Struthio camelus: one gene and its partners. The protein of the gene in region 4 interacts with the protein of the main gene of each other region in a biochemical or structural test. Links are inferred from orthologs where the notes say so. Each region holds a gene or a part of one and is shown on either strand. Other genes may lie near its edges. The genes, in order: TUBB3, ABL1, CDK1 and MAPT.

What was found.
Region 1: the proteins of MAPT (region 4) and TUBB3 form a complex in vitro, tested with the Homo sapiens proteins (3 studies listed by BioGRID, with this or other methods). The link is inferred for Struthio camelus from reciprocal best matches to the Homo sapiens genes MAPT and TUBB3.
Region 2: of the proteins of MAPT (region 4) and ABL1, one has a biochemical effect on the other in vitro, tested with the Homo sapiens proteins (2 studies listed by BioGRID). The link is inferred for Struthio camelus from reciprocal best matches to the Homo sapiens genes MAPT and ABL1.
Region 3: of the proteins of MAPT (region 4) and CDK1, one has a biochemical effect on the other in vitro, tested with the Homo sapiens proteins (2 studies listed by BioGRID). The link is inferred for Struthio camelus from reciprocal best matches to the Homo sapiens genes MAPT and CDK1.

Annotation. Positions count from the first base shown.
Region 1 is NC_090951.1:1,775,265-1,782,984, reverse strand, and holds the start of TUBB3 (tubulin beta-3 chain), read left to right. Parts: upstream 1-4,550; 5' UTR 4,551-4,577; coding exon 4,578-4,805; intron 4,806-6,589; coding exon 6,590-6,698; intron 6,699-6,825; coding exon 6,826-6,936; intron 6,937-7,274; coding exon 7,275-7,720. Other genes in the region: MC1R (melanocyte-stimulating hormone receptor), read left to right, coding at 2,254-3,198. UniProt on the Homo sapiens protein: Tubulin is the major constituent of microtubules, protein filaments consisting of alpha- and beta-tubulin heterodimers. Microtubules grow by the addition of GTP-tubulin dimers to the microtubule end, where a stabilizing cap forms.
Region 2 is NC_090961.1:6,300,391-6,307,650, reverse strand, and holds the start of ABL1 (tyrosine-protein kinase ABL1), read left to right. Parts: upstream 1-4,254; 5' UTR 4,255-5,256; coding exon 5,257-5,392; intron 5,393-7,260. UniProt on the Homo sapiens protein: Non-receptor tyrosine-protein kinase that plays a role in many key processes linked to cell growth and survival such as cytoskeleton remodeling in response to extracellular stimuli, cell motility and adhesion, receptor endocytosis, autophagy, DNA damage response and apoptosis.
Region 3 is NC_090948.1:36,163,749-36,171,685, reverse strand, and holds the start of CDK1 (cyclin-dependent kinase 1), read right to left. Parts: upstream 3,205-7,937; 5' UTR 2,912-3,204; intron 2,374-2,911; exon of another isoform or gene 2,266-2,373; intron 2,149-2,265; coding exon of another isoform or gene 2,098-2,148; exon of another isoform or gene 2,019-2,097; intron 260-2,018; 5' UTR 117-259; intron 1-116. UniProt on the Homo sapiens protein: Plays a key role in the control of the eukaryotic cell cycle by modulating the centrosome cycle as well as mitotic onset; promotes G2-M transition via association with multiple interphase cyclins.
Region 4 is NC_090966.1:4,566,724-4,574,047, forward strand, and holds the start of MAPT (microtubule-associated protein tau), read right to left. Parts: upstream 3,037-7,324; 5' UTR 2,955-3,036; intron 1-2,954. UniProt on the Homo sapiens protein: Promotes microtubule assembly and stability, and might be involved in the establishment and maintenance of neuronal polarity.

The DNA of each region.
Region 1 (7,720 bases), on a different chromosome or scaffold from region 4:
TCAGTTCGTGCTCTCTGAAGTTGCAGACTGGGCATTTTATGGCTTTGCACTCAAAAGCTCTGTTGATAAAGCTGAAATTCATTGCACGAATCGGTGCACTGGTTAGCTGGGCAGCAGCCAAGAAGGGAAGACAGTGCCTGTTGGTCTGGCCTCCTCGTGTGCAGGTTTCCCTGCCAGCCTGGGCTGTTTGCTCCCTAAGGAGACCTACTGGTGGGAGGTGTTGGGGACACCATCTTCGCAGGGGGCTGGTGCTGAGCACAGCTGGACTCCCCTCAGCACCTGGGGCGCCTCGGAGAGCCGGGCTCAGCTGCCTGGGCTCATGCTTGCGGGCTTCCCTCTCCTCAGCATTGCCGTGGAGGGGGAGCAGGTCTCGGAGCTGGCCTTGCCCCTGCGGCCGCGGGTGCGAAGGTGGCTCTAGCCGGGCAGCGGCTGCCGCCTCCAGCAGCCCGGCGGCAGGGTGAGCGCGCACCGGCCCGGGCTCAACGGGCAGCTCTTGTCCCCAGAGCACTAGACACAATTCCTGATCCATCCCTGCCGCGCTGACTTAGGAGCCGCTCGGGGTGAGGACGGGCCCTTCCCCGTGCGGTCGCCCGGCCTGCACAGAGGTGCTTTCATCAGCGGCGGGGCCGCCCCGAGCAGGGGCCCTCGGCAGCCTGAGGGAAGCAGCCGGAAGCGGCCGGTGGGAATGGCAGCGGGACCGGCCTTCTCATGCTGATGTGACCGGCTCTTTGGCAGCTGCGCAGCTCTAGGCATCAACACGGAGCAGAAGGCACATGACGGTCAGATGGGCCCCGCGCCTCCCCAGCCCGCCGCGGCGCTGGCGGGGGGAGCCGAGGCCCCTGCGCGGCTCCGGGGCCGGCTGCTCCGAGCGGCGCCGGGCGGCTCTGCAGGCAGCGACCGGGGAGCCGGCCAGGGCCCGGGACTCTGTTTAGTCCGTTCACTGGCTGGGCTTGGCGTTTGCGAGGCACCGTGGTGCATCTCGTCCCCCTGCCCGGAGCAGCTTCTGGTGCCCCGTGTCGGCTGCGTGCGGAGCCGGGCCGGCCGTGGTGGGGATGCTCCAGCAGCACTGGGGTGGTGGGACCAGCAGCCGGTTTCTTCTCCCAGAGAAAATGGAGCCTTTGAAGATCCCTATTAGACCCTGTCACCTGCCCCGCGGCGCGCCACCCGCCTTCCCCGCGTGCTGCTGTGGCCACTGGTGCCCTTGCTGGAGCCCTGGGGCCTGCGAGCACCCCAGCAGGGCTGAGGCGGTGCTCCGCAGCCCCAGGGACGTCGTGGCGGTCTGCAGGGGCCAGACCGACCGCAGCTGGCTCTGCGGTGGGATGTGGCTCCGAGCAAACCCAGAGCCGTGGGCAAGCTCTGCCCTTTGCACCGGACTGGGAGGAGCCGCTCTGCTCCTGCAGCGGGAGGCCGCACGGCCCCCTGGGCTCCCCGGGGTGCACGGACTCCCCAGGGCACACCAGTCCCCCAGGGCACAGGGGTGCATGGGGACCCCAGGGTGCACGGGAGACCCCAGGGTGCATGGGATCTGCTCAAGGTGCATAGGAGACCCCAGGGTGCACGGGAGACTCCAGGGTGCACAGGAGACCCCAGGGTGCATAGGGGACCCTCAAGGTGCATAGGGGACCCCAGGGTGCACGGGAGACCTCAGGGTGCATGGGAGACCCCAGGGTGTACAGGCAACCTCAGGGTGCATAGGGGACCCCAGGGTGCACAGGAGACCCCAGGATGCATGGGGATCCCAGGATGCATGGGATCCCCTCAGGGTGCCTAGGGGACCCCAGGGTGCACAGGAAGCCCCCCGGCCCCCCAGGATCGCAGGGCGCACAGGACAGCACTGTGGGTCCGGCAGCCACAGGCTCCGCGCGGCTGCCCTCACTGCTGGGGTGCAGAGCTGTCATGTGCGTGCCCACCCTCCACGGAGGAGGGGCTGAGGGAGCCGGCTTTAAAATAGGGCAGAGAAAGGGTCCTTTCTTCCCCATAACTCCCGCTAATCCACCACTGTGGACCAGGGAGGAGCGTGGCTGCAAGGGGAGCCGGGGAAGCCTGGGGACGTGAGCGGCTGCAGAAACCAGGGGTGCGGAGCGGCCACCAGGCGAGCGGGCCACCTCTGGCACCGCGTGCCCATCGGGACCCCGGGGCGGCAGGAGGCGCGAGTGTCGCTTCCCTCTGCCCAAAGCCGTCGCAGGAGAGGCGCCCGCGGGGCCTGTGCCTCGCGCCGGGGTCGAGGGCGCGCGCGGGCCGGTGGCGGGCGCGATGTCGACGCTGGCCCCGCTGCGCCTGCTCCGCGAGCCCTGGAACGCCAGCGAGGGCAACCAGAGCAACGCCACGGCCGGGGCCGGCGGTGCCGGCTGCCAGGGGCTCGACATCCCCAATGAGCTCTTCCTCACGCTGGGCCTGGTGAGCCTGGTGGAGAACGTGCTGGTGGTCGCCGCCATCCTCAAGAACAGGAACCTGCACTCGCCCATGTACTACTTCATCTGCTGCCTGGCCGTCTCCGACATGCTGGTGAGCGTCAGCAACCTGGTGGAGACGCTCTTCATGCTGCTCATGGAGCACGGCGTGCTGGTGATCCGCGCCACCATCGTCCGCCACATGGACAATGTCATCGACATGCTCATCTGCAGCTCCGTCGTGTCCTCCCTCTCCTTCCTGGGGGTCATCGCTGTGGACCGCTACATCACCATCTTCTACGCCCTGCGCTACCACAGCATCATGACGCTGCAGCGGGCCGTGGTCACCATAGCCAGCGTCTGGCTGGCCAGCACTGTCTCCAGCACCATCTTCATCACCTACTACCGCAGCAACGCCATCCTCCTCTGCCTCATCGGCTTCTTCCTCTTCATGCTGGTGCTCATGCTGGTGCTCTACATCCACATGTTCACCCTGGCCCGCCACCACCTCCGCAGCATCTCCAGCCAGCAGAAGAAACCCACTGTCTACCGCACCAGCAGCCTCAAGGGTGCTGTGACCCTCACCATCCTGCTGGGTGTCTTCTTCATCTGCTGGGGGCCCTTCTTCTTCCACCTCATCCTCATCGTCACCTGCCCCACCAACCCCTTCTGCACGTGCTTCTTCAGCTACTTCAACCTCTTCCTCATCCTCATCATTTGCAACTCTGTGGTGGACCCCCTCATCTACGCCTTCCGGAGCCGGGAGCTCCGGCGGACGCTGCGGGAGGTGGTGCTGTGCTCCTGGTAGCGAGCGGGACGCGGGCTGCGCGCAGGTAACGGCACGGCCCGGCGGGGACGGGCTGCGGGGCCCGGCCCCCCCCGGCCCGGCCCAGGCTGCGCCCAGTGCCGCGGGGGCCCCGCGCCGCCCGGCCGCGCGGTACCACCCAGCTGAATAAAGGCTCTTTGCATTGATGCTGTGGCTGGCACCGCGCCGTGCGCAGCCCCGCTGCCGCCCCTCGCCCGGCCCTGCGGCCCCCCGGCTTTGTGGGGCGGGGAGGGGGGGGCAGCAGGTCCAGCACCTGCCTGCTCTGGGGACTGGGATGGACTGGGAGCCGCTGGGGGCAGGCGTGCGTGCCGACGGCGGAGCCGGCGTCTCCCCAGCCCCGATGACGGATCCGTGGGGCGGCCGCCGCGTGTCGCTGCTCGGCTGCCGCATCCCCGTGCGCCCGGGCACCGGCAGCAGCCGTGGGGCTGCTCTGCATGGGGCAGCGGGGTGAGGCCACGGCGCTCAGCACCCCCCCCCGCAGCGGGCGCTGGGGGGCTGCAGCCCCCCGGGCTCCTCGCCGGGCCCAGGCGTCCTCGGCCGCCGCCGCACAAAGGGAGGCCCCTCGCCGCCGCCAGCCTTTGTTGCGGCACCGCCGCCGTGGCTCCCCGCGTCCCCCCGCTGCCCCGGCTGGGGGGTCCTGCAGGGCTGCGGCTGTGTTGGGAGCCCTGGGTGTCCGGGGGGGGGATGCCCCCCATCTCCCCCCGTGGTGTGGGGCGGGATCCCCCCCCGTGGGGTCCCGGCCCCTCCCCACGTCTGCAGGGGGGTCCCAGCCCCCCCCCAGTATGTGGGTGGTGTCTGGGTCTCCCTTTCTCTCCCCCCCCCTCCACGCCGGGATGTCCCCGCTCCCCCCACTCCGGGCGTGCAGGTGGGCTCTGTCCCTGCCGTGGGTGTCCCCCAGCCCCACGGGTGTCCGGGCCGGGGCCCCCTCCCCTCCCCCACACCGCAGGGAGCTGGGCTGGGGTCTGCCCCTCCCCCACAACGAGTGTCTGCGGGTGACACCCCCCCCGTGGGTGCGGGTGGGGGTGGGGGGTGTCCACGAGCGCCGGGTCCCCCCTGCCGCCGCCGGGCTGGGCCGGGCCGGGCCGGGACAATCCCAGCCGGGCCGGGCCGGGCCGATCCGTTCCCGGCCGTGCCGAGCCGATCCGTGCCGGGTCATCCGGGCCCATCCATTGCTGGCCGATCCGTGCCGGCCGGTCCGGACCGATTCGGTCCGGTTCGGTCCGGTCCTTGCCGTGTCGAGCCGTGCCGGTCCGGTTCGGTCCGGTCCGTGCCGTGTGCCGTGCCGGTCCGGTCCGTGTGCCGGTCCGGTCCGTGTGCCGGTCCGGTCCGGGGCGGGGCGGGGCGGGCGCGGTGCTGCAGGGATGCTGCAGCGCGCTGCGGCGGCGGCGGCCGCCGATTGGCTGCGGCGCGGGGGTGACGTCAGCGGCCGGCCCGGTGCGGCGCGCGGCGCCTATAAAGGCGGCGGCGGCGGCGGTGCCGCCCCCCGCGCTGCCGGTACCGCTCCGCGCCCGCCCGCCCGTCCCGGCCCGACCATGAGGGAGATCGTCCACATCCAGGCGGGCCAGTGCGGCAACCAGATCGGGGCCAAGGTAACGCCCGCCACCGGGCACCGCCACCGGGCACCGGCACCGGGCGCTGCGCCGGCCCCGCCCCGGCTCTGCGGAGGGCAGCGGCGGACAAAGGCTCCCCCCCTCCCCCCTCCCCGCCCCGCCGCACCGGGCAGAACAAAGGGCCCCGCCCCGCTCCTTTGTCCGCCGCGGCGCGGGGGAGGGGAGGGCGGGGGCCGCCGCCTGCCGCAGCCCCGCCGCCGCCACCGGGTACCGGGCACCGGGCGGCGCCCCCGGTCCCGGCCCGGCCGGCGAGCACGAAGGCGGCGGCGGCGGCGGTGTGGCCGGGGCGGTGCCGGTGCCGCCGGGGCCGCCGCGAGCGGCGCTTCAGCACCGCGGCCAGCGCCCACCCGCCCCGAGGCGGCGGGGAGGGGCCGGGGGCGCTGTCCCCGGTGCTCGGGGTGACACCGCCACCCCCCCCCCACCCAGCCCGGACCTCCCCGGTTCTCCCGGGGTGACCCCCCCCCGGGGGTGACACTGCCACCTCCCCCACCCCAGACCTCCCGGGGTGACCCCCCCCCGGGGGTGACACTGCCACCTCCCCCACCCCAGACCTCCCGGGGTGACCCCCCCCCGGGGGTGACACTGCCACCTCCCCCACCCCAGACCTCCCGGGGTGACCCCCCCCGGGGGTGCCACTGCCACCCCACCCCAGACCTCCCGGGGTGACCCCCCCCGGGGGTGCCACTGCCACCCCCACCCCGGACCTCCCCGGTTCTCCTGGGGTGACCCCCCCCCCGGGGGTACCACTGCCACCCCCCTCCACCCCGAACCTCCCCGGTTCTCCCGGGGTGACCCCCCCCCCGGGGGTACCACTGCCACCCCCCTCCACCCCAGACCTCCCGGGGTGACCCCTCCCGAGTGACACTGCCACCCCCCCCACCCCGGACCTCCCCGTTCTCCTGGGGTGACCCCCCCCCCCCCGGGTACCACTGCCACCCCCCTCCACCCCAGACCTCCCGGGGTGACCCCCCCCCGGGGGTGACACCACCAACCCCCCCCACCCTGGACCTCCCTGTTCCCCCCCCTGGGGTGACACTGCCACCCCCCTGGATCTCCCTGTTCTCCTGGCATGACCCCCCCCATCCCCCTGGTCCCCTGGGGGTGACACTGCCACCCCCCCTGGACCTCCTGATTTTCCTGGTGTGATCCCCCACCTCCCCCAGTCCCCCGAGGTAACACTGCTAGCCCCCCCCGGACCTCCCTGTTCTCCTGGTGTGGCCCCCCCCCCGGGGTGACACTGCCACCCCTGCCAGACCTCCTGGTTTTCCCGTCGTGACTCCCCCCCCACACACCCCTCTCAGTCCTCAGGGTGACACCATCACCCCCCCAGGCCTCCCTGTTCTCCTGATGTGACCCCCCCGGTGCTCAGGGTGACACTGCCACCCCCCCGGACCTCCTGGTTCTCCTGATGTGACCCCCCCCCACCTCCCCTGGTCCCCTGGGGTGTGGCACTCCCAGTACTGGGTCTCCCCCCCACCACGATGCAGAGCCTGCCCCCCCCCGTGCCAGGCCCCCAGGGTGCTCTCCTGCCTCTGTGGCACCCTTGGGTCCTGTCCTGCCCCCCCCCATGGTGCAGAGGCCCCCTCCCCCCCCCGCAAAGGGTAGGATCACCCCTGGGTCCTGTCCTGTCCCCCCCCCCCCAACGGTGCAGAGACCCCCTGCCATGCTGGCACCAGGCACCCCGAGCTGGGGCTGTGCCCCATTGCTGGGGGACACTGCCCCCGAGCGCTGCCCCCTCTGACCCCCCCCCCGTGCCCCCCCAGTTCTGGGAGGTGATCAGCGATGAGCACGGCATAGACCCCAGCGGCAACTACGTGGGCGACTCGGACCTGCAGCTGGAGCGCATCAGCGTCTACTACAATGAGGCCTCCTGTAAGCCCCCGGCGGCGGCGGGCTGGGCAGGGAGGGCGGCGGGGGGTCCCCGGGTGGGGGTCCCCACGGTGCGGTGGGCTCGGGGGCGCAGGGAGGGGGCGGCGGGTCACTCGGCGTCTCTCCGCAGCTCACAAGTATGTGCCTCGCGCCATCCTGGTGGACCTGGAGCCGGGGACGATGGACAGCGTGCGCTCGGGCGCCTTCGGACACCTCTTCCGACCCGACAACTTCATTTTCGGTACGTCCCCCGCGCTAGCACCGGCCGGACCCCAGATGGCTCCCACACCCCATCCTGTGGCGACGCTGGGGTGCCCGGAGCCGTCTCTGGCTGCGTCTCCCCCGCGGCCCCGGCATGCCGGCAGCTCCCTGCCAAGCCTTTGCGGCTTCTACTTCCCACCCCACCCCACCCCTCCGCGCCCAGCTCCAGGCGCCTCTCACCAGCCTCAGATCTCCCTGTCGGATCCCCGGTTGGGTTGGGGCTGCATGCAACCTGCCGTGGGCGCCCACGCGGCCCCGGGCGCTCCGCAGAGACGGGGGGGCTGGAGCGCAGCCAGCACGGCTCGTCTTCTCCCGCAGGCCAGAGCGGGGCCGGGAACAACTGGGCGAAGGGGCACTACACAGAGGGGGCCGAGCTGGTGGACTCCGTCCTGGACGTGGTGCGGAAGGAGTGCGAGAACTGCGACTGCCTGCAGGGCTTCCAGCTGACCCACTCGCTGGGTGGTGGCACCGGCTCGGGCATGGGCACCCTGCTCATCAGCAAGGTGCGCGAGGAGTACCCTGACCGCATCATGAACACTTTCAGCGTGGTACCCTCGCCCAAGGTCTCGGACACGGTGGTGGAGCCCTACAACGCCACGCTCTCCATCCACCAGCTGGTGGAGAACACGGATGAGACCTACTGCATCGACAACGAGGCGCTCTACGACATCTGCTTCCGCACTCTCAAGCTGGCCACTCCCACCTACGGCGACCTCAACCACCTCGTCTCAGCCACAATGAGCGGCGTCACCACCTCCCTCCGC
Region 2 (7,260 bases), on a different chromosome or scaffold from region 4:
ATGGAAGGTAAACAAAAAAAGCATTGAAACTTCTTTTATGAAATAGATGGGAGGTACCCAGGCCACATGCAAGGCCTTGATTAAAACAATCTGTAACAGTTTTTTTTTTCTAGCCTGGAAATGCAGCTTCTGTGGTCACACAGTCTCTGATCTCTGTCTTCCCTAATAACTTCTGCACCCACTGGGTAACTTCAAGGTTGTAAACCAGTGAATAGAGATAATCCAGTTCACGAAAAAACTGGCAGCAGGATAGAGGACAGAAAATGTATGACCCTTCTGGAAGGAAGGAAGGCAGATATGCTGTGCTGTTGGGAGTGCCCAGCTGGCGGGCCCGTCTGCACATGTGTAGCCCCAGCTTAACTACACCACTGTTTTGGGAAACGGGAAATGCTTTGGGAGCAACTGCTGAGTGGAAAGAGGCTGGGGACTGCTGGCAAAGAACCTGCCCCACTTGGCTTCTTTCTGATTGCAGAGCATCAAAGGAATACCCGACTCCTCCAGCCTTTTTTTCCCTCTCTTGGTAGCAACAAAAAGGACCTCAAATACTGGCTAACAGCTTGAGTTAAAAGGGCTGGTCGTATAGAAGTGAGCTTTTAAGTGAGACAGTCTGAGATTGCTTGTAGTTGAACTTCTGGTTATGGGATTTGCAACTTTCAGATCTGTTGGATCTGTGGTGAGTTATAGCAGTAATAAATTCACCTGTTCTGGTAAATAAAAATAAGTATATTCATCTGTGTAGTATCTCGTGTGGGGCAGGGAGAAGTACATACAGTGTATATTGTCCGGAACAGAAAGCCTGCCTATTTTCAATTACCTTCGTGTATGCCAGTGAGCGTATTTTGGTCAAAGCCTTCTGAGTATCGTGGACCTCTGGTAGTCGTCAGGAGCTCACTCTGCTTCAGTCCTGCTAGCTGATATGAGAGATTATGGATGCTCCAGTAAGACCCAGAAGGGAATAACTTTTTCAGTAAAGGATGGTTTGTATTAACTAGTCTGTCAACTCAGGCTGAGCAATTTGAGAGAGATTTGTTACCAGTCAGTCTCATTTCCTGAGTTTCCTTCACCCAATGGGAACACCCGGAGTCTGTTTTGGAGTGGAAGTTAGATCATAGCAGTGAGGAGCTGCTCTCCATTACTGAGATAAACTGGAGAAATTCGGCTGAGTTTGAGTTTGAGACTCTGGGTTTGTCTCAGCGTAACGTACCAGAATTTCTCTCTTGCATGTTTGTAACGCAAACAGCCTCAGTTCCTGGAACCTGAGTTACTGATGGGAGAACGCAATATAAATGGTTTGGGATCAGTGTCCTGGCTAAGAATTAGTGACATAGGAGAAGAATGGTGCAGCAGAAGTGGAGGATCCCTTAGGCCTGAATGAAGTGCTACCTTTTAAGTGCTGTAATTGGAAGATGAACAATCCATGTCTGCTAGGGACCTCAAACATGCTATAGGAGAAATGGAACATGTTTGAATTTGTCATAAGGGAGGAGTCAGCATAAACAAGCCGGTGCTTTGTCCAGATGGTAACTCTGAGAAGGAAGTTACCGGAGAAACTGCTTTTGTGTGTTCTCCCACTGCCGGCTGGGAGCAAGCACAGACCTTTGACCAAAATACTCCAGCCTCATGCTGCTGCCTCAGCCCTTTTCCATTCCCATCGCAAACTGGATAGAGAAACAAAATACCTTCGGCTTCACGGTATGTACTCCTCAGAGAACGCGCATACTGCACATCTAAGGGCACCATGGTGCAGGCTGAAGAATTTTGAGGTTTAACTTCATCTTGGTATAGAACAGTGCACACATGTAGATAAATCCAATAACATACATTTTTTGGCACATTTCTTGGCCTCTAGGGCTGTTTTCAGTGTCAAGTTTTGCATGTGCTCTGACAGCATTAATAAAGAGATGAGGACCCTAGTGCCAGCAGGATGACTTATCCCTGGTTCTGGAAAAGCTAATATTACAGCTGCCCCTGTAAGGTTCTCTTCATCCCTGTCCCTCTCTGTAAGAAGTCTAGGGTCCAGAACAGGCCAGGGGACTTGAGAGCAATGCACTTGAAGGGGTCTTTGGGGCTTGAGAACCAACCAGCTCTCATTATCAGATCCAGGAGGAAACAACTCAGGTGGCCCTTGCAAAAGGAAAAGGAAGTTGATATGAGTTAAGGGAATACTCTTAACTTTATGCCTCAGTTTAAAGAGTTTGCTTGTGAAGTTAGATTAGCAGATGCCTACCTAGAGGGGAATTATGCATGGAGTGAATTAAGCCCACAAAGAGAAGCTCTCATGGTCTAAGGGTGTCTGTTGCCTTTTTCCTGGCGTAGCTAGGTGGCTTGTTGTTGTCGTTTTTTTTCTTGTGTTCTTGATATTATTGTATTATTGCCTTTGGATGGATTAAAAAAGGTGATTGTGACCGATGCAATTGATGCAGGGTTTTAGATCTCAGTCTGCAAGCTCTTTGTAATTCTGTATGTGAACGTTTTCCTGACAGCTCTTCAACAATGTTTTGTCTCTTAAAAAGAAGAAATCAGCCCATTCTCATACCTAAGGCAGCAGAAAAAGTCCAAGTATGTGTGTATGGCCCTGCGCCTAAAAACAGATGGAAAGCACATATCCTTGCAAAGTTTCCTAGAAGCTGGGTGAGGCAAAGAGCAGGCTAATTCACGTCCCCTCTGGACCTCGCAGTACAGCGCTAATGAGCCAGTGCACAACTGTGTTTAGTGCAGCACGTTATTTGGGGACTGGGTCCCAGAGGCACCGAGCAAACGTGCTGCAGTGCCGCGTGCAGGCCCTGCTGCCTGGCCACCTCCGCTCCTCACCTCCCCCTACCTCTGCCTCGTCCCAGCTCTCGTCTGTCTCCTCCATCCTGACCTTCCTTGTGGTCGCTCCAGCTCACCATCGCTACCGTGATACCCCCCATTCCCAAGTCATCTTCCCCCCGTTTCTCAACACCCTTCATTGCTCTCACCCCTGCAATCCTTTTCTGTCACTCCCATTGCTCTCCTGTCACTGCTGCTCCTACTGCTCCTGCCTCTCCTCCATCTCCCCCCTCACTAAGGATCTCCCTCATGGTTCCTCCTCCCCCCCCCCATTTCCCTCATCCTTCCCCACATTGTCCCCATTTCCGTCATCCTCTGCTTCAAAGAGCCTTTCATGGCTCCTGCCCAGCACTTCCCTCCCCTCTCTTCTCACCAGCCCTGAGCCCGCTTCGTGCCTGCCCCTTGTCTCCCTCATCGCCCCACCCGGGTCCCATGTGGGTGCCCCCGTTTCCCTCCTCCTTCACCTCCCAGCCCCTCCCTCCCCTTCACCCTCATCCTCCCCTCGGGGCTGCCCTCCCTCCCAGTTTCCCCTATCCTCCCCTCCGTTTCTCTCACGGCTCCCCCCGTTCCCCTCAGCTCCCCCTGCCCAGACCCCACCTGGGTCCCCCATTTCCTTCATGGCGCTGCCCCCGAGACACCTCCATGTCCCCGCTTCCCTCACGGCTTCCCGCCTCGGGGCTCCCCCCCTCCCCTGGACCCCCCCACTTCCCTCGGGGCTCCCCCCACACACCCCCCATTTCCCTCGGAGCTTCCCCCCCCTCCCCCGGACCCCCATTTCCCTCGGGGCTCCCCCCCCACACCCCCCATTTCCCTCGGAGCTTCCCCCCCCCTCCCCCGGATCCCCATTTCCCTCGGGACTCCCCCCCTCCCCCGGACCCCCCACTTCCCTCAGGGCTCCCCCCACGGACCCCCCATTTCCCTCGGAGCTTCCCCCCACCCCCTCCCCCGGACCCCCATTTCCCTCGGGGCTCCCCCCCTCCCCCGGACCCCCCATTTCCCTCGGGGCTCCCCCCCGGACCCCTATTTCACCCCCCCCCCCCGCCGGGGCTCGGCAGGTTGCCATCACGGCGGCGGCGGCGGCGGGCGCGGTGCCCTGACGGGGCCGAGGCCGGGACCGGGCAGCGGCCGCGCCGGGCCGGGCGGGAGGCGGAGGCGGAGGAGGAGGAGGGGCCGGAAGGGGATGTGACCGCCCGCCCGCCCGCCGGCCGGGGACGGGGCCGCGGCGCGCCGGGGGTTCCGGGATCTCCCTCGCCGCCTGCGGCCGCCTCTGCCCGCCCGCGTCGCTCGGTGCCCCCGGCGGCAGCCTCCTTCGCTGGGGCCCCCCCACCTGGCCGCAGCCCTTTGTCCCCCGTCCTGTCAACGCCCGGCCCGGCCCCCCCGAGGCGGGTCGGGGTCGGGCGGCGGCGGCGGCCCGACCCGCTGCTCCCGGCCGGCCCCTCCTGCGCGTCCAGCCGCGGCGGGGCCGGGCTCGGCCCGCTGGCGCTCGCCGCCGCGGCCTTCCCCGCCGCCGGCCTCCCCCGCTGGGATGAAGCCAGCGCAGTCACCCCCGCTTGACCTCTGCTGGCTGCTGTGCAGAAACCTTCCTCCCGGAGAGCATCCCTGGGCTCATGCCTCTTCCCGGCCACCGGCACCCGGCTCCCGCTGAGCCCTGAGGGCCGAGGCCGCCGCACCGGGGCGGCCTTGCCCGCCCCCCGCCCCGCTTGGGCCTTGGCGCGCTCGAGGCGTCGCTTCGGAGTCCGCCATGGCGCCGCGGTGCCCGCTCGGCCGCTCGACGCCCGCCGGCGCGCGGGAGAGGTAGCGGCGGGAAGAGCGGGCGACGGCGGAGGGCGAAAGCTCCGCGGGGCCCGTGCGGAGAGAGCGCGCGCGCGGATCCCTGAGGACTGAGCCGGCCTGCGCTTTTGTGTCGAAGCCTGACATGATTTGGATGTCCTGGAGCCTGCTGGACTTCAACGGTACTTGAAGCCAGAGACGTGGCTTTTGGGGGCCTTTGCTCGCTCAATGCTATGCAAAAGAAAAGGAGGAAAAAAAAAAAGAAACCTTGACCCTGGTTGCAGTGGGAATGACCGTTTCCTGCCCTGGGTGAGCCTAGATGCGATTTCTTGTTTGTAAGATGAACTAATTCTCCTTTGCCCGGCGGAAGACGCATTGCATATGGTAACGTAAGACTTTGACGCTTGTTGTAGTTACTAAGCAATTGGAACTTTTAACTTGTTGTTTTGCATAAAGCCACCTAAAGAGCCTTGTTGCTGCCTCCAGACGCGTTGCAAGAGTCCGCGAGCTTGTCTTAATTCTTCGCCTCAAGTGACTTTATTACACGGTGAGCGCAACCAGCATACCCACCTAAAATACGTTTCCCTTCCGAGCTCCGTCCCAACCTGGAAGATCAGGGATCACAGACTTCTTCAAAAACTTCTCGTCCTGGGGAAGGCTGCCCATAGTTGCTTTATGGGGCAGCAGCCTGGAAAAGTCCTTGGGGACCAAAGGAGGCCAAGTCTGCCTGCCCTGCACTTCATCAAAGGAGCAGGGAAGAAGGAATCATCTAGGCATGGGGGCCCGCACTGTAACGTCTTTGTGGAACACGGTAAGGAGTTTCTCTTGGCTTATGTCTGGCCTGCCCAGTTAGATGCAATATTGTTTATTAAATTGCTTCCTACAGATATAAAGAGGCTGTACCGTATGGAAGTCTTCTGTTTTCTTTCTTGCTTCTTGATGCAAATCCTGCCTAATCGTGTAGTAAGAAAATGCTTAACTTGTGTCAGATTGCTTGAAACTTAAGGAGAGGTTGTTATACAGCTGAGTAGTAAATACAAGGAAATAACTTGTTTTTAACATCATACAGGTTTCTCATTTCTGCCTTAGATATGTTCTTATTTAAAATCTGGGAAAGTGGGGTTTTTTTTTGTTTTGTTTTGTTTTGTTTTTTGTACAGACCAACCACAGGTGCTGGTGATGCTGTTGCCATTGACAGGTTTTCTAATTGTCTTTAAAGGGTCTCAGCTACCTGAAAATAAAATACCTTCCTTTGGAGAGTTTGTGGAAGTTGCAATTGTGACACCTGATGGGAATCAAACAGTTTCTTGTTAATTTGCTTAGTGCATTTACAGCGTTTTTGGTTAGTGGTTTCTCCTCAAGCCAGCTAGGCCTTGATCTTGTGCTGTGATGAGATTAAGTGCAAGAGTGAATATGTTAGGGGTTTAGCAACCTCTTCGCTTGCTGGTCTTCCACAAAGTAAAAGGGGACTGAGAAAGTCAGGAAAGAAACTAAATGAAAAACTCAGTAGGACTCAGAGGTGGGTTTAGCATCTATTTCAGATTATTTTTTTCCTTCTTTCTTTTTTTTTTTTTTTTTAAAATAAATGACTGAGTAGTTTTCAAGCTTATGGTAGCCGTTTTCAAAGGTCAGACACAGTAAAGTGTTGTTTTGCTGAAACTTCTGGAGTAATCCTTGTTTTTGCATAATGCGTTTTCAGTTCTGATGTTCTTGGAGCAGACATGCCGCTGGCCGCTATCTTAGGCGAGCGAATATGATTTTGACAAAGCTTGTTCAACAGTTCTCTCCTCCTAAGAAAGTTTGAGCACAAAACCAAGCTGCATCTATAATCTTTATCCAATTAAAAATTGAAAAATTTGCAGCGTCTGAGGACACAATCTAACTGCTAAGTGGAAAAATATTTATTTAGTTTTATTTTAGATAGGCTTTGTTTTGAAACTTTCTCATCCTGAGTTTCTGAGTCACCAAGAAATTCTGTGCAATAGTTAGCAAAGATACAGACAGAGATGCTGTGTACGTACTGCTGAGTTTCAAGTTACATATTGTTTCAAGTTACATTAATGTTATTTCTTCTCATTTCCTGTGCAGTGTTTGTGCACTGAGGTTATTTGGAAATTGGAGGTAATTAATGGAAAGATGGAGAATATAAGGGCTAACTTGGCACTCTGATAAAAATCCTGCTGCAGAAATTTTCCAGGGCATGCTTTCAGTACTGAAATATACCCACTCCTCCACCCCCAGTTTGGTTGCTGCTTTACTACTTAGGACAGAGTTTCAAGGTCAGATGAGACGCAGTGCACTTAACTGCAAGCAACACAATATTCTAACTACCTTCAGTGTTTTGATGTGGCAGCAGAGCCAGAAATGGTCCTTTTTGATCATCTAGCAGGAATAGGCAGATGGTAACTTCTTGCCAGTATGACCTGAGGTCAGAACATCCTAGCACATTTGCAAAGAAAAATAGCATCTGTAATGTCCATATACCATATGTCCACAAGAGACCTCAGTGTCTTGATTTTGAAAAGAATAAACTTGAAAGGGGACATCAAGGCTGATACATCTGTTAAGAGAACTGCAAAAGATCAGCCTCGCTTATCCACATGAGGAAAACTTATTCCGTTGACTATACGAAATGGTTCTTCGTATAGTACAGGCAGTAGAAGGCTGTACCACCGTTTT
Region 3 (7,937 bases), on a different chromosome or scaffold from region 4:
AACTTAGTTTTTCTCTGCACTCCTTACCCGTTTATCCCTTTCCATCTTATAACAACCACCTGCTACTATGCTACGTCAGATCAAATGCCCTGCAACAGCACATTTAAATTCCAAACCTCGTTCAGCAAAGTCTGACTTGAAACCTTTCCTGAAGTAAAGGAAGTTCTTTTTCTTCCCTCAGGGTGTCATTCCAGCTGCCAAGAATGAAGGTGTACTCTTGCAGATGAGAATGCAGATGAGACAAGCCAAGTATGCAACCCTGTGGAAACGCACCGAAGATTTAGATGTACACATCACACCTGAATTTGTTCAGAAATCCTCCTCCTAATCAATTATTTAAGTAGGAATATTATATGCGTTTCCCTTACAGTAAAAATAACCTTTTCCTTAAGGTGCTATTTTCTTTTACAATCTGAAAATTCCATTTTAACCGTCACCATTTTATTTCCAGAGAGTGATGGGAGGTGGCACACAGTGATGGCTAGTGGTATGCAAGGCACTATAAAAAAGTGTGTGGCCCCACCTCAGAGCTGCAAATTGCCACTGCCAATGATAGTACCTCTCTCATCAGTAAACGTGAGCAGCCTTGCTTCATGTTTTCTTTTAGCCAATGTGGATATTGTGATCCTTTCTTCCCATTTCCTCTCCTGCCTCACAGTTCCCTGAGTGGGCTGAGGAAATGAGTCACATCCAAAATAAGAGGGAAAAAGACATTCTAGGGAAAATTGATCCTTGTTCTCAAGAAAGAGAAGTACTGCTGACAGTTTTTTTTTTTGTGAGACAGACAGAAATTAAATAAGAAGAATCCTGAGACCTCAACAGTTATCCCAGGCTGGGATGTATACTTAATCCGATGTACTAGCATGCTTGCAAGGATGTGCTGCACTCTATACCAGTGAAACCATCCCAGTCAGCAGTTGAGAATTAACTTATCCGTATCAGACATAGCTGTATCATCAGTCCAGGTAAATGCTTTTATTTTGGCTCTATGCACAAAGAACCAATGCGTGCACTTTACAGAGAGAGTGACAAGCAATTAGTTAGGCACTATCTTCAAGACACGTGAACAGCTATAGTCAGCTTATACATTTGGGTATCCACTTTCTACATTGTGCCCACAAGGCCAGCAGTAGTAGAAAATCAGTGAATTAAACTATTAGCTACAATGTTTCCAGGTAAGTTAAGGCGTGGTAAAATGGATTGTCTTTAACCTCTCCTAATTCTGGTATTGAGTTCTAACGCAAAGAGAAAAACAGATTGGTGTACCAGAACGAGGCTTTTGAAAGGGGGGGGAAAAAAAGTACAGAAGAGAGGATACAGGCATTTAACTCCAAACTAAAGTAACCTTAATACCTTATATAATACTTCTTGCAATTTTGAAAGCTGTGATACAATAAAACTTCAGCAAGGCCATTCTAGAATATTTTACTAGGCATTCACAAAACACAAACACCACCAAACAACAAACACGGCTATTTTAATCAACACAGCTCATTTGGGCGCTTTGGGCTTTATAGTCTTCAGCCTTGATTGAAAACAAAAACGAAACACCAAACCAACCCGGACTGATTCACAACACCCAACCCAGCCCCAGGCATTCTGAGTTTGCATTATGGTTTAACGTATCAGCACTGTAGTATTCATCGTGGGAAAACCAGCTGCTACCATTTAACTGCGGTAAGGAATATATTAGCACCTAGCTAGGCCATTTAATTAATTAATAATTAACTAATTTATTTATTTTTCAAGTTTAGCAAACTCGAGTTCCGTCCCCGAAAACTGCATCCTGAGGAGCAGTGAGCTGTGGATGGAAAGGGGGCGGCAGCGCAGGTGGGGCCGGGCCGCGGCCACAGGTGCCCCCAGCACCTATTTGTCTTTGGGCGGAAAACGGCGGGGTTTTGATTCCGTAATAAAGCACCGGCTCCAGGCGTGAGGAGGCCCAGGACAGGGACGGGACGGCGGCCACCCCCTGCCGCGGGAGGAGCGGGGCCCGGCCCCACCTGAGGGGGCGGCGAGGGGCAGGCCCGCCCCGCCGCGGGGTGAGCCGAGCCCGGCCCGGCCCGGCGAGGTGGGAGAAGTGCCTGGACGCGCCGCAACATGGCCTCCGCCGCCTCCTCCTCCCCCGCGGGACGGCGCGGCGGAGACCAGGTGAGCGCGCAGCCCTCGCTGCCCCCGCCCGCCCGCTGGAGCACGGCGGCCCAGGCCGGCCCGTCGGGCGGGGGGCGCGGGCGGTCCCCTCCTGCGCCGCGCCGCGCCTCTCCTCACCTCACTTCTCTCCTGCCCGCTCCCGCCTCCGCGCGCGCCGCCCGGGCTCGCGCCGCTGCGGCCGTTAACGGTCGCTGCCGGCGCGAGCGGCTCCCCCTCAGCGGCGGCGCGCGGAGCCCCTCCCCCCCCCCCAACGGCCGCCGCTCAGGTGTGAGGGAAGCGGCGGCGTTCAAACGTCCCTCACAGGAGCCGCTCGCCTCCCGCGGGGGTCGGCGGGGCGCAGACGCCTTTTGCCTCCGCTCTTAAGCGTCCGGGTGTGAGCGAGAGCGACTGCCTCTGTGTCGGTAAAACCTGACGCCCCTCCTTGGACCTTGCCTCTTCCCGCTCTTCTTTCTTTTCCTCACTTTTTTTCCCCCTCTCCCTTGGCAGCGGCCCGCGCCGTGCCGAAGCCGCCCGTCGGGCTGCGGCTGGCGCAGGTCGTGCCTCGCAGGGTCGCGTTACAGGTTGCTAAGCGTTCGCTTTTTCCTTGGGATCGCTTAAAACAACAGAGCAACGCTAATTTATGCTTTTAGGAGTAACGCGCTCCAGTGAGCTGTTAACAAGTTAGTGTGTAGTTAGTGAGTGTATTCAGTTTGCTTTTCTTGTTGGTTTTCCAACACGTAAGTCATAAAACAGTAGCCTGGCTGTTGGATGGAGATGCCCTTACCTGAAATGTTCTCAGCTGCCCTTGGGACGTTTTCCTCCTTGCTCAGCGCCTGATTGCAGAGCCAGCAGCAGGACCTGTCTCATGAATGACAGTGCAAGGCAAGCTGCTGCTGGCTTATGCCATGCCATCGTGATGCTATAATATGAATAAGGGTATGCATACCATATGAAAGGACTCCAGTAGCAAGAGGGTTAAAATACAGGCAGCTCCTGTGGTTGCTGCTGGTGGTAGCTGGCACTTGGAAAGGTGAAGTGCTGTGGGAGGCTCTGCTTCAACACACCCATAACTACATGGGAAATTACAGGAAGGCTCTTTCTCCCAAGTCCATCCATCCTCTTCAGTGATTAGACCCAGGCCCTAGGGTCTGATAAAAGCACTGTGCTACAAGGTTGTATGTAGCTTATGTAGTGAATGTGATCATTTTTGTGTGTTGCACTCCCAAAAACACTGCCTTATATTGCAATGAAGTGGGCTGGTCTGACATTCTTCCAGCTGGGCACAAATGGCATAATTGGTTTTAACTGCAAATACTAGTGTCCTTAGAGTAGAAAGAACACATTTCTGCATGTTACACAATGTCTGACCAGCTAAATAACTTTTTTCCCAGTTTTAAAATGTGGTTTTAAAATGATTGAAAAAGTGTGGTAAATGCAAATTTTGTTTCTTAAGGCTATAAGCCCAGAGCTTCTGAAACCAAAACTGAAAACTGTAAGATTTAAGCTATAGTTCAATCAAGGGTGCATAAAACTTACTCTGTTTTCTTCCCCACCACCCACTTTTTTTTTTTAAACTGTGTTTTAATTTTTTTGATTAAAGTATCTTTTGGAACCATAAAACCGTCCTGGTTTTAACAGCACTTTTGCTGCACTTAGGATCCCATCTGCTCTGTGAGGTTCTCTCTCTTGTTGTAGAATGTTAGTCTTTCATGTTTCTCCCTCTAAATCTTTTGGGAGTTCATGCTTTAAAATTAACCATAAAATAACAGCCCTAAGAGGAGCAGTGGGCTAGACTAAAGCATTCCTCTTGAAGTCCTCTAAGGTTAAGTTCCAGGTTGGCAGGCTGTTCCTCCCCTTGCTTGTGACTTCCGTGTTTTGAGCCCTGTACTTCATCAATGAGAGCTCCTAGAATGAGAAGACAGAACTTCCTGTGTTGTCAGTACACAAGACATTTTTGCTTCACTTCTTTTATCTGCCTTGTGGATATACAGGTTAAATGAGACTTGTCAGATTTTTCCAAAGTAGGCAACTTCCAAACTTATTATTCTGAAAGGTTCATGATCTAGGCTACATTTAAAGGATTGAAGCAGTGAGGTTTTTAAAGAAGATGATAGTTCTCTGTCTCTAAGCTGGACATGTTGCATCTTGGCCTTGGAGTAGTCTTAGAACAGTTCAGGAGTCTCAGCTTTGCCCTCAGGGTCTAGTTCTGCAGCCTTACATCCTTCCACACTGTCAAGGCCAGCAGAACTTTCCACTGGATTGAAAATAATTTTAGGTCAGGTTCTTAAATGTTAATCTCTTCCCCCCCCCCCCCCCCCCCCCCCGCAATGGGTATTAAAGGTGTATAGATCTTGAATTTTTTAATGGGCAGCATTAGAAGTGGGGATGTGTTTTGAAATAGCATTGGTATTTTTAGTGAGTTGCTAGGAGAATAGTCTCTGCTATCATAAATCTCACTCTGCCTAAATACCTTCCACGAGAACTTGCTAGTGTGCATCTCCTGATTTTTGTTGCAGAATGATACTGTGCTGTTGCATGCCGTTGTTCTATTGATACTTGCCCGATAATTTTTTTCCTTTTTTAATGGAAAAAATATCACCTTGCTTGTCTTTTCTAAATCCTAATTTATTGCTAATTATATGCTTTTATTAAGGTAGTGAGTTATATCTTAGTGCTATAATTTACAATTCACATACATGTTTACTTGTAGATAAGTATTTTTCTTTTTTCCAAACTCTATTTCCAGTTTTGCTCCAAGATAACCTCTAAACTCTACAGAGTGAGTCAGAAATACTGTAACAGCATGAGAAAGAAAATAGCTTGCAATTAAAAATATTCTTGTATTACTGTACTGCTTAGCTGTTAATAATTAGGATGACTGCTACTTATTTCACTTTAATATATTCTAAAATTTTACTCAGAAGTATATATTTTTTAAAAAGGAACAGGAAGGGTAGAATATACTTTTTTAGTTCTAATTCTTTTATTATAGTTCTGAGTGTCAACATTACAAATACTGTTAAAATTCAACATCTAACAGGAAGTTTATTATGCCTGTAGGTCACTGACAGTGCTGTTCTGTCCTGTAATGTTTATATTTGGGGAGTTTACAGTACTGAGTAAGTTTGTGGATTGTCTAAAGCTTGGAGGAGCTCTTAAATTTTGCAAGTTAAAGTTTTTTTTAAAATACTGTTTGCAATTTAATTTTAAAACCAATGCCTTTTTGGAAAAGAGAGGAGATGGTTATCTTATTCTTGTGTAGGGCAGGAAAAACCCCAGCTCTGTTCAAATATGAAAGCTGAATAATTCTCACATAAGTTCTCAATCTTAAGAGTGAAATATTTTATTATTTTAAAGCTTCCAAATCTGTGCGACCACAGTTACAACCATGTTGTTGCTGTGGGGAAAAAAAACCCTAAATTTGTTTAATCATTGGAATCTTTGAGGGCAATTTTCTTTTTGCAGCTAAAAAGAAATCTTTGCAGTCTGCAGGCCAGACTGAGTTTCAATTCCAGATAAATGCTTGGCATAGGTAGTTTTCTGTCACTGTTGTCCCTTCTGGTTCTCTTCTACGTCTTTATCAGTTTAATCCTGCTTTTCCTTCTACCTGAAAGTTTTTTGGGATTCTCTTCTACCGTTCTCTGGTTTCCGGGATAAATTTTGAGATACATGTGTGCCAGGCTCTTCAGAGAGTGTGAAAACTGTTAATTTAATCTATTGTTTGAATACTCATCAAAGGTGGTTTTTGCCAGTGTGTTGTCTAAAATGTGAGTATTGCTCCTGTACATTAGATCTCATGCTAAGCTGTTGACAATGGCACTTACAGTTATTTGGCATGGATCTGTGGATGACAAAATGAGAGCTGGCATGTTGCTTTAGTTCTGAGAAAAGCTTGGTTTTGCAATCTTTAATCGGGCAAAATTCCTTCATCTCTTTAAGGGAGCTTGACAAGGACTTGGCCCAAGGAAGACTTTGAAACAGCTCATGGCGTTTAGCTAATTCTTTGCTCCTATGGAAAAGGCTTAGAACCTTGGGCATGAGGGTAGTAGCAAATATTTCTGTTTTATGCTTGAATTCTAAGATGTGTAACATATGATGCTGAAATGTCTGAGAAGAAAAATGAGAATGTTGAGGTTTGACTTTTCCAAAATAAATATTTCAAGGTAGTTTTAAACCTTCTCTTTTTTTCCTTAATGTGATGAAACTAGTTTAGATTAATTTTTCAGGGAAGAAAGAATGGAAGGCAAATATAGGGAATGAAACAAAAGTCACATTGCTCTCTTTCTTGGGCAGATAATTCCTATTTTCAGTGGTGTTGGAGGGTGGGGAAATAATGAAGAAAAGACTCCTTACCCTTTTCTCACCTCTTCAGTGGAGAAATGAGATCAGAAATGCTTGAACTTCACTAGTCCTTTGATAACTTGTATGTACTCCCTGGTGTTGGTGCTAATAGCTTTTACTCTGAACAGTTAAATTACATAAACATCCACATAAAGTACATGGAAAATGATAGTTGCTTGCACTGTATGTTTTTGTTATCATTGGAAGGAAGTATGACTGTATGTAAAGAAGTATTATATGTGAGGAGAAAAGTGGGTAAAGAAGATGGGGGCAACAAAGAAAACTGCTTTATTAAAACATTAATAACTATTGTGGTGAAGTTCTTAAGAGGCTTTCACTGTTTATGTCAGTCTTTGCCACCTTGTTTTTCACATAGTTATTGCATACTGTTAAAATCTTGCCAAGTCTTATTAGCATCTTGAACAAATCCATCCAGTTTCCTTTCGGGGAAGGTGGCGCCCTACAAAAATGAATTTAGCATTAGCTAATTAGTAACATTGTAATTTGTTTTATTTAATCCACTTACAACTTCAGTTCCTGCTGATCTGTGGCAGAGAAAAAGGTACCATCTTTTCTTTAGTCTCTCTTTATAATGAAGTAGTTCCTAACAAATTCAGGAAGCTATTCTCTAGGGACATACTTAGGGTGGTGCTCTGAAAAGGAGATATTACTCAAAGTTTCCATGTACTGTCTGATACTTGCCTCATGATTTTATCAGTATGTGATACTGATTCTATCTGGTTGTAACTTAAAAATGTTATAGGCTAAAGAAAGAACTTCTGTGTAGCTGTAGTCCGGAGGGTTCATTAGCTGGAACTTTCCTGTCTGCCTTATTGTGTCAGTGCTACAGCAAAAACTGGCTAAGCTTTTGCACTGATCTTCTGCATGTTATTTTAAACAGGTTGTGCTGACAGCTTCTTTCTGTAGGAATCACTAAAGTAATATCCTTCAACGACAGAGTAGTTGATCACATGCGTCTGTCTTATAAGAGCTTGATTCTTACTGAGACTTTTCAGAGACTTAATTTTAGGTTTTAAAGCCTCTGTGATAAAACATCTATTTTAGATGGTATTTTTTAAAGCAGTCCTAGTAAAGGTCATTTTCAGAGGGACTTAAACCTGTTTTATGCAGGTTAGTTTTATGATCCCTGCATGATGCTATTACTATATTAAGGTTTTTTCCTTGTTTTAAAGGAATATGGTTTCTCTGACTTCCATGACAATGAGCACTAGAAGTATGAAAAAGTAGAAATCTGGAAAGGTTATAAATGATTTGAGTAAAATCCTGGCCTAACAATCAACAGAAGTTGTTCTACTTTTCTTTGCGGGGTCAGAATTTCTGCCTCTTGCTTTAGTAAAGTTCACCGATTATGCAGTCAGTGAGAAATTATGTAGCCTTAGGAAACTCTTTCGGCAGCTTTCGCTGTTTTCCTTCTGAATTTGAAAGTTATGGAAGTCTTCTGAAGTTGT
Region 4 (7,324 bases):
GTTTATTAAGCACAGAGGGAGGAGGACTGTTTAGGCAAAGGGCCTTGGAAAGGAAGAGGCTGGAAGCAGAGGGCAGCAAGGCTATCTGAGACCACAGGAGGAACTGACACAGAAGATTAAATTAGAAGCATGATCTGAAAATACTTAAAGCAGCATTTTAAAAAGAGTAAATGAGGCTTTTAAAAAGCCCATGTTTTTGCTGTGTATATGTGCAGAGCCAGATCTGCATTCCTGGGCTACAGCCCCAACAAGCAGCACTCATCACCTGCATCTTCACCTGCAGGACTGGTACCTGTCTCCTCTTTGTGACACTTTTGGCCTCATCCCAGCTAATCTAGCCTTGATGAAGTAGAAACATCCTTATCTGTGATGCCATCTGCCCCACAAGGTGGAGATTTATCTGCTGAGAACTGCAGGTCTGTTTCCTTCTGGAATAGCTAAAAGTGCTCTCCACCCAGGAGAGCAAAATATCATCTCAATGCACCTGGAGAGCATGTCAGCTGGGACCTTTGCAACAAGTTCACCTGAAAGCCTGCAGACCACCAACAAGCTGTTCCAGAGCCGGGCTGAACAAACAGCCCAGAGAGGGGCACAGAGTCTTCATTAAAGGCTTCAAACAATGACAAGCACACTTCACACTTTGTCATTAAATCAGATATACCTGTTTTAGTCCAAGTTTCTCAGGGTTCAGCTTCTCGCCATTAGATCTTGCAATAAACTGAGCTCATTGATATTTCATTTTAAGCTCTGCCTGTTCAGGACTTAACCGTTCTACAATCCTGTTATATTGCAAAAAAGCCTTATGGAAGAAGATGGAGTCTCAAACGACCAAGGCCATGGTACCTCTGAAAGAGAAGTCATGTTGTCCTTGAGCACAAGAGCTGGGTCTCAAACAAAAAAAAAAAAACACAAACACACAAAATAAAAAAAAAACTAAACTACATCCCACCTGCATCTTAATTCCAAAGGCTTAAAGCCTTAATTTCCAAGGACGTTCAGCAGCATGAGGTACTTCTGTTAACAACTGGGGACTGCACAGGGAAGCATGCCAAAGCCATACCTCCTTCCAAATATCATTACTCTATCAAGACCAAGGAGGAGGAAATCCAGGGGAATAATTCACACCTGATACAAAATACTGAAAAGCCTCAACCTTACTTTTCTCCTTACATGTGCAGTCAGGAGGAAGGAAAAAAAAAAAAAAAGCATTTCACACATCACAATGGAACAAAGCATAACTGGGTTAGATTATTTCCCATTCTTAGAAGAAATGGCACTTTAACATTCCCTCTCTCAAGAGCAGCCTGTAAATATCCAACTGAGAATTGACAAGCCTGTTTTCATTGTCCACCTTGAGAAAAAACACACACACAAAATGAGCTGCATACGGTAAACCACTAGATTAAACATCCCAAATCTGAGACACTGGCAACAAAGGTAGAAAACCTTCACAGAGGGCAGCCATTGCTTGGCAGAACAAATCAGTGTTTCTCAGTAGTGAATTTTGTCCCATTCATTCAGACACGCTTTAGACATCTGCCTAGATCCACACAGATAAATGCAGGGCAACTAAGAAATACGTTGCATGCAAATTGCTGAAGTGACAGCTTAGCTCATCTCAGCTGCTCCTTCCAGCGAGCCAGTTTCCAAGCAAGACCAGCCTCGCGCTGCAAATGGAGCTGCACCTCGCGTGGTGCTACTGCAAGCAAATGGAAGGAGAAACTCCCTCTAGAGCGATGGCAGCTGCCCTCTCCCAACCACCAGCAGGACTGCTTTTCGAGGTGTTAATAACCATCTTCCCAGCTGAATCCTCCCTTACACTAGCACAGCAGACAAAACGCAGGCAGAGATCTCCATCCCTCACCTGAAGTAAGCCCTTATCGCTCTTAACGGGCTTAATTGCTCAAAGCCAGGAGGGCAGGTGTGCCACGCATCGCGCCTGGAAATACCTGCCGAGAAAACTTCCCTTTCCCCCCTGTGAAGTTAAGACTTAAAACAAAGAGATGCCCAGCAGTTAAAGGGGAAAAAAATACCCCTCTCACAAGGCAAACCCCGGGAAGGGGGCCAGCCTCGCGCCCCGGCCGGAGCGGTTTTGGGCACGGAGGGCACGCGCAGCAGGGGGGAGCGCTCCTGCCCCAAACCCGCCGGGGTGGGCACCAGCATCCCCAGCCCGGCTGAAAAAAAAGCCCACCTTTGAGTAGCGTTAAAACCCACCTTAGGCGAGCGTATCGTTAACGTTTTCCCCTCTGCATCTGGGGCGATGCAACAAAGCAAGGCAACTCCGGGGCACCGTGACCTCAATAGCGCGTGGCACCCCCAATTTTTAGGCTAAACAGGGGCAGCTCTGATTTCTGACACACCTTCTCCTCACGGTTTTGGTTTTTTTTTTTTAATTACTATTATTTTAATTACAGCTGGTCCCTGCCTCCCAGGAGGGCGGCTACAGAAGATGGCACCGCGCAGCCCACCCCTCCTGCCGCAGCCCCGCCGGCACAGCCCCCCAGCCCCACCTGCCGCAGGGAACGGGGGGCAAAAAACGCCAAAAAGGAGGGAAAGGGGGAAATCATAATTCAAAAAAAGCCCCCCCCCTCCCCCGGCCGCCCCCCACGCCGCCGCGCACCTGCAGCCGGGCGGCAGCGCTGCCGCAGGGGCCGCCCCTCGCACTGCTGCAGCGGGCAGGCTGCAAGGGGGCGGCCCCCTCGGATAACCGGGCCCGGTAACGGGAGGGAGAGGGGACACGCCCCTCCGCGATTTTTTAATTTTTTTTTTGGGGGGGCCCTCAAACGGGTTCCCCACCCCCGCCCGTTTTCTGCGTTTTAGCACGGGGACAGCGAAACGCGCGGCTGCCCGAGCGGAGAGCGGCGGCCAGCCGCGCAGCACCTTTCCTCCCCCCAAATATACCCTCCCCGGCCCCGAAGGCTCCCTCCGCCGGTCGGGGGCCCGGTGCCGCCTACCTGCCGCTGCAGGAGAGTCCGCACCGGAGCCGCGCGGCGAGTGACAGCGGCGGCGCGGGCGGGGCGGGGCGGCGCGAGCCGGGGGCGGGGCGGGGGGCGCGCGCGAGCTCCGGAACCTTCGCCGAGCCGGGGGGGGGGGTGGTGGGGGGTGGAGAGGGAGGCAGGGCGCATGCGCCGAGTGGCGCTCACCCCCCCCCACACACACACACAGAGAGCCCCTCCGCCAGCGCTCAGGCCGGCGCATGCGCGGTGAGAGGTTGGAAGGGGGAGGGAGGGGCCAGCGCCGTCTTTTGTCTGCGGGAAGCGGGGGCGCGCCTCGCCCCGCCCACAGGGGGCGCCCGCGCGCTCTCCTCCCCCCCCCCAACCGCCATTTTACGCCGGTGGCCGCCTCAGCCCCTTCCCGCGCTGCCGCCTCCCCCGGACACCACCTCGGGGCAGGGCGGGGGGGACCCACACCTGTGGGAAGGGGCCGACAGGTGACACGTTACCCCACCTCCTGCCCCCAGGTGATGCAAGGAGCTTCGGGGCTGCCCCACCATCCAATGCAGCCCCACCTGAAGGGGCAACTCATGCTCCCCGCTGCTCCCAGAAGATCCCCCTCCACCTGCGAGGGCAGCCAGGCGCTCCAGAGGCTTATGGACACAGCAGAGATCCCACCATGGCCTTCCTGCCTTGCGTTACACGGTTACTATGCTTGGTAATTGGATTTAGTGGAGAAACTGCAGGAGGGATCCCTTGTCAGACAGGCTCAAGGTTTCGTTTTTTCCCCCGGGCATCATTCAGGTGCAAATCAAGGGCAAGCGTCTGATCTAAGGACAGGCTTCTGACACAGGTCAGGAAGGGAAAAGCAGCACAAGAGAGAGAAAGAGAAACAGATGTGGAGCCTGCAGCACCAGAGGTTTAAAGCATACTAGACAACTACTGGTTGGGAATGGTCCATCTCGTTTTGGAACAAAGGTCTCAAGGTGTCTCATAGCCCTATGGAGAGCCAGAGCCCTTATGTGTTACAGCAGCGTTAATACCTGCACGAGTACTGTCAAATGATGAACAGTGAGCGAGGTGGAGATCTGGATTTCTGAACATGCGGCCATGAGGTGGTTTTATCAGGTCAGTAGAAAGGGGCGAGACATAAAAACCTTTTTTTCCCCTGTCCATTTTTAACTGGCTTAAGAATGCCATGAATTGACATTATGCTGTAAATTGGTTGGAGAATTTCCCCAAGGTAAATACATGTTCTGTGAGAAATATCACCGCTTTGGGAACTGTAAAATGAAGTAAGCTATGAGGGGATCCATCCTTGTGAGACAACATAAAACAAGCTGAATTTGAACTTACAGTGCAAGCAGCTAGAGTCCAATTGTGGAACAGCAGCTCTTCCTACAGGCGGTACAGATGTACCAGGAACACAAGACTGACTGCACTGGCAATCAGCTGCTCAGCTGCTCCTCCTCTAATATGACCATTTCTTCTTTTGAGGAGGGCAAAAACCAGAAGACACTCCCTGCCTTAACGTCCCAACACAAGTTATTCTGGATAATCAAATCTGGACTTCTTGAAGCCCTCTCAATCAAAGCTCACATTCGCCTGCCTGACTTTGCTTGGGTCACCAAGCACCGAGTCCCTTTTGGATCCAAGAAGTCACAGACTGGCAAGTATCATTAGCCAGTCCCAACCAATGTACAGGCACATCACTCTCACCACATTATGGCCATGTAGAAGATCTGCCAGCAAAGGCTAGCCAAGAGTAAGATGCATCAGCTGGTGGCTTACAGTACTGCCAGCCTGGAGGAACACAACAGCAACGACTCCCCCATAGTTCAGTCCTCCAGGACTGCTGTTGTACAGCCAAGCACCTTCCTGCCCTTAAGCCTAGTGGTACAGCACTTGGAAATAAAAAGATGCTAAGAGCACCATAAGCAGGACTGGCTACAGAAGGGCACCATGAGCACAGACTTGCTGTTTAACACTGTGTTCAGAGAAGCAGGACCCCATGGATATTCTTGGTAAACAAGATTACTGCAAAGAAATAATCAAATCTACACCCATATTTTCCTCCTTACTAACACCCTGCAGGGCCTCAGCGTTGGCTGAATGTCCATGTCACAAAGAGGTAGCAATTGGGAGAAGAATCCCTTGTTCGGGTGTCCTGACTCCCCACATCACACATGCTAGCTCGCTGCAAATCCACCTCTTTGATGTGAAACCCCACCGCGCAGCAAGGTCTGCATTTTGTACTACGTCTCAGGTCGGTGCCCAGCAAACCTCCATCTCCACTCCTTGCACCACAGAGGCGCACCCCGTTCTGCATGGCATGGGCGCAGGTTGCTGCTGCAGCAATACTGAGATGTTACGGGAACTGCTGGAGCAGCGCGAGTCCTGAAGCGCTGCTCAGCGCTCTGAGCCCCAAGTGGAATGAGCTCACAGTAATTGCCAGGGCTTCTCACCCAGCCAACAGGAACTGCAGAGAAACACTGTAGCCATTTCTTACCTGTACGCACAGCAGGCTGACAGCTAAAGTAGACATTAATTACTGCATGGAGCTGTTCTGGCTACTTCTTGTTTATAGGGTATTTTTGCAAGGAAAGAGAAGTTTCTCCTGCAACTTTAAACTTGCTCCAGGCTCCTTCTTTCTTCCCTTTAGGCTTGGACTACTGCTAGCTGGAAACAAGCTACTATGTTTTCCTTTAAAATGTGATGCTTAGCAACTTTGCATTAGACTTGTAGCTTCCATAGCTGTTTCTTCATCCACAAAACAGGGCTCATCTTCCTTGCAGGTGAGTTTTGCAACTTGTTTCAGAACTGCCTCAAGGTTTCCTATGACAGGTGCTACGAAAGCCAAGACATGATTTCTCAGGCCTTGCCTGGAGTGGGAATTGACCTGCAGAACTGCAGCTGTGTGACAATTGCTGGGTTATAAGGGTTTTAAGACTAACATCCCCAAGGCCTTGTTTGTCTTCAAACTGCTTCATTTCAGTCACTTAATTCAGATTAAGGGTGGCCTTTGCAAAACCATAATGAGCCTAGCTGAAATAAATACTCAAATTCTGCACTAGCTTAACTCCATTACAATACCCACGCCTTTTGCAACTTGGCCATTAAAGTTCACCTAAGCAAAGAAAATGGGTTAATCGCTTTCCAAATGGTTTGTAGCAAGGAGACAGGATTGATGTTTCTGAAACAATTCCAGATGCTATCGCCTGCTCATAAACCACAAGATGATCCCTTCCTAAACAAGGAAGCCCCAGGCAGACACAGGCCCCAGACTTGCTTCCCAGGACACAGCCACTAACGCGCACATGGCACCAGACCAGGGGGCCAGCAAGGTTTCAGGAGGGCTCGCTGGGCTTTGAAGCCTCACCATGGAGATCTCAGCAGGGAACTGGGCATTACACAAGCAGCTTTCCCAGCCGTGCCTGTATGCTGTTAGCAACTGCAGGAAAGCGGGCATTACCCAGGCCGGCTCTGAGCAGAGCCAAACAAAGCTGTCGCCTTCTGCAAACCTTTCCCAGCAGCTCCAGGCACGAGGGGGGATTAGAGCACAGCTGGCTCCGTTCCCCACACATATTTGCTACATACATATTTTGCAGTTCTCTCCAAGCAAAATCAGCTTACATTTCATTTTCACAGACAGGCAAAATGGAGCACGATACCCCTCTGTAAACCCCGCTGAGGCCAGTGGGGCTGCAAAGACAGAAATCAGAGAAACACCCGCGGCATTGCAATGGTGCAGGCAGCAAGCAGGCCGTGACTCAGCAGAAAGAGCCAGCCGGCAAGGTCCTCTCCTCTAGGAACAGCACTGAGCACCAGGAAAGCAAATTTATCACTTTCCTTCCGATCACTTTTGCAAGTGGAGAGACTTGACAAATTGAGGTTAACCTCTTGGGGACCAGAGACCAGGTAATACCCTTACACTCACCTCTGTGTTTCCCTGCACCCCAGCTGAAAAAAGATTATACCTTTTTCTTCTCAGCTGACTAATGTGGAAGGCATGCAGAGCCCAACACCTACCAACAGAAGACAAGACCCAATACCCCTAAGTTTTTTTTTTTTGGTAAGTTAACCCCTTTTCATTTTGAAACTTTCTGCTACAAGGGACATTCCAGATCATGTAAAGCTTGTGTACCCGTAATGGGCTGAGTTGTCTGGTAACTGGTTAAGGAGTTACCGAAAGCATTGACTTGTTACGTGCATGAATTTATCCTGTGAACTGAAGCCATGAACTTGAAGCTTACACTCACTTGGACTTGGTATCACAGGAGGGCAGTGAGCGTTTGGGGAGAACTCTAGATCTTGTTTCTCCTTATCCAGGCTACAGCTCCTCTCCTTCTGCTTAGCAGCACAGCCCTGGGGTATTTACAGCCTCCACCCAA